Tribolium castaneum: one gene and its partner. The protein of the gene in region 1 interacts with the protein of each later gene in a biochemical or structural test. Links are inferred from orthologs where the notes say so. Each region holds a gene or a part of one and is shown in the gene's direction. Other genes may lie near its edges. The genes, in order: mitogen-activated protein kinase kinase kinase 7 and TGF-beta-activated kinase 1 and MAP3K7-binding protein 1.

The links.
Region 2: of the proteins of mitogen-activated protein kinase kinase kinase 7 (region 1) and TGF-beta-activated kinase 1 and MAP3K7-binding protein 1, one has a biochemical effect on the other in vitro, tested with the Homo sapiens proteins (4 studies listed by BioGRID and IntAct). The link is inferred for Tribolium castaneum from reciprocal best matches to the Homo sapiens genes MAP3K7 and TAB1.

Annotation. Positions count from the first base shown.
Region 1 is NC_087399.1:3,650,636-3,654,559, forward strand, and holds the start of mitogen-activated protein kinase kinase kinase 7, read left to right. Parts: upstream 1-1,598; 5' UTR 1,599-1,731; coding exon 1,732-1,812; intron 1,813-1,856; coding exon 1,857-2,156; intron 2,157-2,202; coding exon 2,203-2,634; intron 2,635-2,682; coding exon 2,683-2,910; intron 2,911-2,993; coding exon 2,994-3,069; intron 3,070-3,924. Other genes in the region: prohormone-2, read left to right, coding at 1-325; putative ankyrin repeat protein RF_0381, read right to left, coding at 508-896, 941-1,556. UniProt on the Homo sapiens protein: Serine/threonine kinase which acts as an essential component of the MAP kinase signal transduction pathway. Plays an important role in the cascades of cellular responses evoked by changes in the environment.
Region 2 is NC_087395.1:17,238,996-17,242,919, reverse strand, and holds the start of TGF-beta-activated kinase 1 and MAP3K7-binding protein 1, read left to right. Parts: upstream 1-1,092; coding exon 1,093-1,783; intron 1,784-3,924. UniProt on the Homo sapiens protein: Key adapter protein that plays an essential role in JNK and NF-kappa-B activation and proinflammatory cytokines production in response to stimulation with TLRs and cytokines.

The DNA of each region.
Region 1 (3,924 bases):
CTACCGCCCCTGGGGCCTGGAGCCCGAGCCGAGCGGCGACAACCTCGAGGAGGAGGAGAACTGGCTGGACGCCCCCGTGTACCCCCACGCCACCGGCCACAACGACCTCGCCCCCAGCTACCTCATGGACGAGAAGCGCGGCCGATGGGGCGGCTTCGCCGACAGCAGGAAGAAGCGCTTCATGGTGGCCAAAAAGCGCAACGACCCCACCAGAGAACTGCGCTACTTGAACGGCCCCAACAAGAACGACTACTACACGCTGAGCCAACTCTTGAGCAATCAACGCGAGCCTAATGTTCCCCTTTACCATCGGCTAGTTTTGTAATAAGTTTTTAGACTAAACCCGAGCTCATATCGCGTTTTTGAATCGTTTAAAGTCTATCTGTGTTACTAGTTTATTGATGTTTATATGTTTTAACTCTCAAAAAGTCAGTCAGTATAATATTTACAATATATTTATTGAATGTTGTATTCCGTAATATTAATAAATTGTGCATAATGATCTGTTTATTTTTGTTTCAATTCGGCCTCTTTCTCCATCTCCGCCAGCTTCCGCTCGCTGATTCGCGCCCGGACCTTGCTAGACCACTGGAAGATCTTCGGGAGGGCGGTGAGCAAAGGCGGGGGTCTGTAGCCCTTGCGGAAGTAATCGGCGATCACTTCGTTACCGTGGTCCACAGCCACTTTAATGGGGCTGCGCTTACAGCTATCCACAACGTGGATTTTAGCCCCCTTTTCGACCAAAACCACCGCCAGTTCCAGAAAACCGGTCACCGCAACAAAGTGGAGACAATTGCGCCCTGAGTCGGGCTCCCTCATATTAATATTAACCCCGTTCTCCAACAAGAGCAGCACCAAATCAATCTGACGAATGCAGCGGCAATACAACACCATTTCTGCAAATTTTAATAATACTTTTTTCGTTTGGATGATCAAGTACCAAAAAAAATATGGAGTGGTCTTTGGTGCTCGACGCTCATATTGGCCCCACTTTGGAACAAGGTTTTGGCAATTAGGTAATTATTGGTGTCTAGGATGCTCAAAGAGAGGGGCGTATTGCCAAAGCAGTCAACAACATTGACCTCAGCCCCGAATTTTAGCAACTTTATCGTAATACCGTAATTCTCATTCTGTACGGATAAATGCAGGGCTGTTTTATTAAACCGGCCGTAAATATTGGGGTCGGCTCCGTGTTCCAGCAAAAGAAGGGCAAATTTTTTGCAGTCGCATAAGCAGGTAACATGCAGGGCAGTGTAACCGTGGGCGTTCCGCACATCCACGTCAAATTTTTTATACTCCAAAAGGCGGTACCCCAGGATGTAGTCGTTCCGTTCGGCGAGTAAATGCAAAGGGGTGACACCGTACTCCGTGGAGCGAATGTTCGGGTTTACTCCTTTACTCAAACACTTTGTTATCTCAGGAATGTTCCGGGAGTAAACGGCAACGAAGAATTTCTTCTCTAGGACTTTCTTGCCCACACTGCTCATCACGTCACTCTCGACTCGCTTCTTGAAGCCCTGGTGCCCCCGTTTGTGTAAATCCCGTTCGCTCGACATGATTGACACTCGCGCCGAGTTTTGAACACGGCTGGGGATTTTCGAGCCGAAGGTGACACTTGATCTGAAGGATACATAACCAAATTTATGGTGGTTGATATTTATCGAGATTTTTCGTAATTTTGGGGCTGTCTGGACGCTCTGTGGCCAAATATGTGATTACTTCGGTATTTCGATGGCGTCTTCGGAAAATGAGGGTAGCGTATGTCAGTACACCGTCGAGGAAATCAACTACAATGAAATTCAGAAGCTTGAGGTAAAGTAGCCCTGGTTGTGGCCACCGACACATTGTGGTTTCAGGCAGTCGGTGAGGGCAGCTTTGGAGTCGTTTACAAGGGAATCTGGCGCGATGCGTTCGTGGCGGTCAAAAACATCGTCTCTGAGAACGACAAAGACGCCTTTATTGTGGAAGTCCGGCAGCTGTCAAGGGTCAAGCATGAGAACATTGTCAAGCTGTACGGGGCCTGCACCAAGGGCCCCAACATCTGCCTTGTGATGGAGTACGCCGAAGGGGGCTCCCTCTTCAATATTCTACACCACGCACCTAACGTACACTACACGATGGCCAACGCCATGTCCTGGCTCTACCAGTGCGCCAAAGTAAGGGGCGAAGCCGCACCGACACACTCTTAACTCGGTTTTCCAGGGGGTCGAGTATCTCCATGGCATGAAACCCAAACCTTTGATACACAGAGACCTCAAACCGCCCAACTTGCTCCTGATAAACGGGGGCACCTTGCTAAAGATATGCGACTTTGGTACTGCCACAGACATGACAGCAATCATGACCAACAACAAAGGCTCGGCCGCGTGGATGGCCCCCGAGGTCTTTGAAACGTCAAACTATACGGAAAAGTGCGACGTCTTCAGCTGGGGCATAATCCTCTGGGAGGTGTTATCGCGACTTAAGCCTTTTTTCCACATTAAGGAGTCGGGCTACCCTTCGGCTTTCATGATCTTGTGGGCGAAGCACAGCGGCCGGAGGCCCCCTCTCATCAGGCACTGCCCCCCAGTCATCGAAAAACTGATGACACAGTGCTGGGATCAGGAGGCGGCCAAGCGGCCGAGCATGAAGGAGGTGAGTGCACTATTTTTTGAGTGGGGAAAGTCAAAGTTTGGCTTCCAGATTGTGAAAAAAATGGAAGTTATTTGCTCGTTGCTTCCGGGCGCCGACGAGCCGTTGCAGATCAGGGGCGGTGACGATGTGGTTTACAAGGAGGAAATCGAAGAGTTTGAGGACTGTGTGGAGGAAATAGACCAGTTCCCCGCCAGCACCAACGGCGATAATTGTGTCAAATCGCTGCCCCAGCCGAGTGCCGAGATGTCGCGGCCCCTCAACATTAAAATAAGCCCTGTAAGTCGGTTTTTACGTCGCATGACGTAATTGTCTTTTAATAGAAAATGAGTAAAATTGATTAATTGAGTCGTTTGTTGCAGGACGCATGGGATTTACACGATCTCGACATGCAGCTGAGAACCATGCCCGGCCTTGATAAGATGGTACCAAAAAACGGTAGGTTGTGTTGTTCTTGTGGGCTCGTTGTAAATTTAGCCGAGAGCATTGGCTTAGTGCATGACTCAACAACTTGCAATTCTTGAAAACACTCGAGGGGCTATAATTTTTATTTGTCGCAGTGTTAGTCACACACGGACCAATAAAAATAAGATCAAAGCCGAGTCGACTTGTCTGCACGGCTTCGTCGCGGTATTTTTATCGCTTTGCGACCTTAAAGTCGTGCAGGTCCGGCGCTTTAAGCTCGATTTGGCCGAAATTCCGGTTCCTCCTCCTAAATACGTGCGAAACGAAGGGGCATCTGTTTTTAGACGCGCTGACTCAGCGAGACCGATTTAGAGTAGTTTGTTTAGTTGGAAGTTTCTTGATCGGCCTGCCAGGGACGGCCTGGCCCCAATTCACCACCGGCCTCCGAAATGCGGAAAAGGCGGCTATTTGCAGGTTTTACGCGCTTTGAGGCCTTGCCTAAGGCCATTTCCGCAGAAACAATTCCAAATTTTGGCTTGGGACTACGGACGACTAAAAGTTAGGATGCGAAACGATGGACGAATAAAACGTTCTCGTCGCCAGAGAGCGCACTTATTCATGGTTGTAGGACATGGTGCAAAATTTTTGTTGTAAACTATATTTAAAAAAAATCAAACTTTTGCCCCATATTTTTCAAAAAACGTTGGGACGAAAGTTTTGGGCAGTCCGTCGCTGGCAGCGCCTTGCTCTGTCCCTGGCGTCTTCCCCGTATCGCTATTTCAGTCGCACCCATGCGGCCGTTGCCAGTTTCTTTCCAGCGGCTGGTAGTCTCGCGTAGTTTTTCGAGTGGCCCCCGAACATAAACAATCGACACGTTCCTATCGATCC
Region 2 (3,924 bases), on another chromosome or scaffold:
AAATTCAATGTCTGACGCTATTATCTGTGTCAAATCGTGACTTTGGATTCAATACCAGTTCTAATACACGTGGAAAGCTATTCAATCGGTTTTTTATTGTTCCTTTTCTATTAGAAAAACACAACAATAGCTTCCAATCAATGAAAGAACGAGGAAAACAGATAAACGAACGTAATTTATTAACGTGTGATTAAAGATAAGGGTGTTTTGATGAAATATCGATTCGTGTTAGCAAAGTAACGGTGTTATTATTGTGAGAAAAACACAAGTGGAGGGCTTCGTTATGAACTGTGCCACATGCAAGGAGAATTAACCACAAAAAATGCCTGGCTTACAAAAACGTTCCGGAAAAAACCTCAATAAACAATATTATCTCTGGATCGGTTCATTGACTTTATTACTGTGTAAAATATAACATTACAACTATCCACCACGGATTGCGAACGAGTTTATTATTAACGTTCTAAATTTAATAGGTGGACAAGAATGTCTGGATTGTGCGGTTCCGGGACATCAAACCAGACCTTGAGAACGTAAGGGGCCAACCGAGGCCGCCACCAAAAACAATGCTAATGCTAATACGAATAATTTCGTCGTAATAAGGCCATAATTGGGGCTATTTTCCAATCAAATCGCGCCTTTTTCTGGAGGTGAAATCAAGCGAGCTTACCTGACTTGGACACGATTTATGGCATCGTAAACGAAGAGAATTTATTGGGTTTGCTAAAATTTAACGAAATTTAGTAAACATAACGGTATTTTTACTGCAATTTCTAGTGAAACGTCACAAATGTCACAATAACACAATCACAACAAAAAAAGTGGGTCGGGTTTGGGGAAAACAGGCTGGACACACGAAATTCAATGTCACTGGTGATATAATTTGCTGGAACTAGACCAAGTTATGGTAATCCCCTTATTAATATTACATCGTTAAAAGTGAAAAAATACAGTTACACTCTCGAATTGTATGTTTGGAGTAAATACGAAGTGTTATTTAATTTATGCCGTCCGGTCACGTGGTATCTACACCAGAAGTGTTGCCAACAGTGGTTATTGCCATTTTTTAGGTTATGTATTTGTCAAAAATATATGAAGCCTCTAAAGCCAACCGAGACAATTTACAAGAGCCAAGGGACATGGACCGACGCATTGACAGTGTGCAAAAACGCCGGAATTGGATATTCCACCAACCAGATCTACCGCGAGGACGGCAACCCCCAGGAGGACCACCCGTATGAAGACTGCAGCTGCCACTACGAGTTCAACAACGGCACCTGCTGGTACGCGGTCTTCGACGGGCACGAGGGCCAGAAAGCCCCGCATTTCTCGTCGCAGCTGACCGCCGAAATCTACTTCTCTCAACTGACCGAGAAGAAGACTGACGATGAAGTGAGGGAGATCCTGAGACAGGCGTTCATTTCGGTCGAAACGGGGTATATGCAGTCGATTGGCGACCTGCTGGCTGACAGATTAAGGCTGCAGGATGACTTACCCGAAGGCTCGAACTCGTACGAGGCCTATCAGAAGGCGCCCCATGTCGTTGAGAGTATTAAACGGATCAATTGTGAGCTGTCGTCAGGGGCCGCCGCTGCCGTCGCTTTGATTCACAACAATAAGTTATATGTGGCTAATGTCGGAAATTGTCGCGTATTGTTATGCAAAACTGATGCAAATTCGGTGTTGAAAGTCGTCCAGTTGAGTGTCGACCACGATTTGAAGAACGAGGACGAGTTGCTGAGGCTGGCGCAGATTGGGATCAATCGGGAGTATTTGAGGAATTGTAAGTTGGAATTCTAGCCATAAAGCAATAAAATAGTTATTACACCACAAGTTTAAAAAAGCGTTAAATAGGGTTCTTATTTTTCTAAAATAAATTTTTCGTCGCGACTACGGAGGACTGTAGATTAGGAGACGAAATGAGATACAAAGTAGGATTTTCTCTAGTCCGGCGAAGTAAAAATGAGGGCGCTTCGAGCGTTAAACCGTCTCGGTGCAAATCGTTTTAAATTAATTTAAATTCAATCAATTCACTCATTGGAAAGAAAAAATGCAGAAATGTTGAGCTTTGCATTCTTAATAGGCAGAAAAAATGACTAAAATTTTCACGGGAACCAAGAGACAAAAATTTATGTTAATAATACTAACAGAGTATTTTACACACCTTAAAATATTTTATTCTTCGACACTGTCAAAATTTACGGTTTTTCTCCTGTGTAAGGAAGTTTTGACAACTGTTTGGCATTTCTCAGTACGAAACGTCAGATTATTTTTAACAAATTTAAAGCAGTTTTAAGCCTTGCTGAGTCTATTTCGAAGAATAAAATGTTGTATTCAACTCGTTTTTGTGTAAATCGGTTCATTTATTTCGCCTCGTGGATGATAAACCACTCGTTTTCACTCGTGGTTTAAAAATCCACTCGTGAGATAAAGCGTCCGATTTACACTCAAACTCATTAAATAAATAACTATACTTAGATTTCGGTTGGTATTACATAGACAAAATATTACTAAAATCATTCTGAATATAATCCTCAAACGGATAAAAGTTTTGGAAAACTGAAATAGTGCTTAAGGTTTTTGTGGAGGAAAATTTCTTTTTAGAAAGACATAAAATTTAATTGTATAATAGTTAGTTTCATGTCGGGCTTTTGTTTGCCTTAGATTATTTAAGGAAAAATAATTTCCTCTTGTACAATAATTTATTATGATTAGAACCTAGAAGAGAATATTCACTGCTGTGCTTGGAAAAATATTTCGAGACCTTTAAGGATACACTAAACTGTCTTTATTGCCTATTTTGTTTCACAGTTCTTCTTGAAATTATTTGATATTATACATTACGTATATTTACACTTCTGTTTCCCTTCCCAATTTTTTTTCTTGCACCCGTCACTTCTTTCATACATTTTTTCCTCTTGACTCCACACACTCTGACAAACAATGTTTATTTAAAAATATATAAACTAGAAAGTGTGAGAATTGGTAATATTTTTTTATATAGCTTTCAATAAAATGTTTGCCCTGACTTTGAGTGGTATGATTAAAAAAGTATTTGATTTTACTTCAAGTAAATAATTCACGTCGTAGTTTTACTTCAAATAAATATTACCTAACGTAGCATTTACTTCACAGTATACTTGAAGTAAGTAGTATAAGTAAATACTTCAGACTCCTTTATGTACTTTGGTATATAGAGGACAATACTATGGAAACTAGGTAAACAATAGAATATCGTACTTTAATAATTTCTGTTAAGTTACGAGTAAGCTCCATGATCTTCTTTTTAGAATTAGTTCTTTTAAAACACTTAATTATTTCTTTACTTTCAAAATAAAAGTTTTAACTACTATTACGTATTATTATGAAATATTTAATACTTATTCCAGTATTAGTACTTTAACAAACTCTGTAAAATAAGATACTTATTAACTTATGTATTCTTCTATTCTACAAAGTTTTAGAAATAAACCTTTATCCATTTGCTTGTAAATGGAATTTTCCAAAATTGTCGTTACTTAATAGAACAAAATTAATAGAACATTTGAATCAAATTAAAGTTAATTAATTAACAAAATCTCTATGACGGAAATCTTGTCATAAGGTTATTTAATAACGTATTCATCAGTTGCCACATTATTGGCAAGTTGGAGTCATTTTTCTTAAATATAGTTACAACAATGGGACTAACTAGAGTTAGAAGTAGGACAGCATTTTGAAGACATTAATTTGTTTTGGTTGTGAAAATTTAGGAAGATAAAAAAAATAATATTACTAATCAAATTACTGACCCATTTCCATTTTCTAAACTACCATATCGCCTACAAGGAGGCAATGTATGTAAATTTTGGAACCTAATGAATTACTTCAATTTAAACCACAACAAAAAAGCTCTTTTGTCGCAAAATACTCGCGATCTAGCTG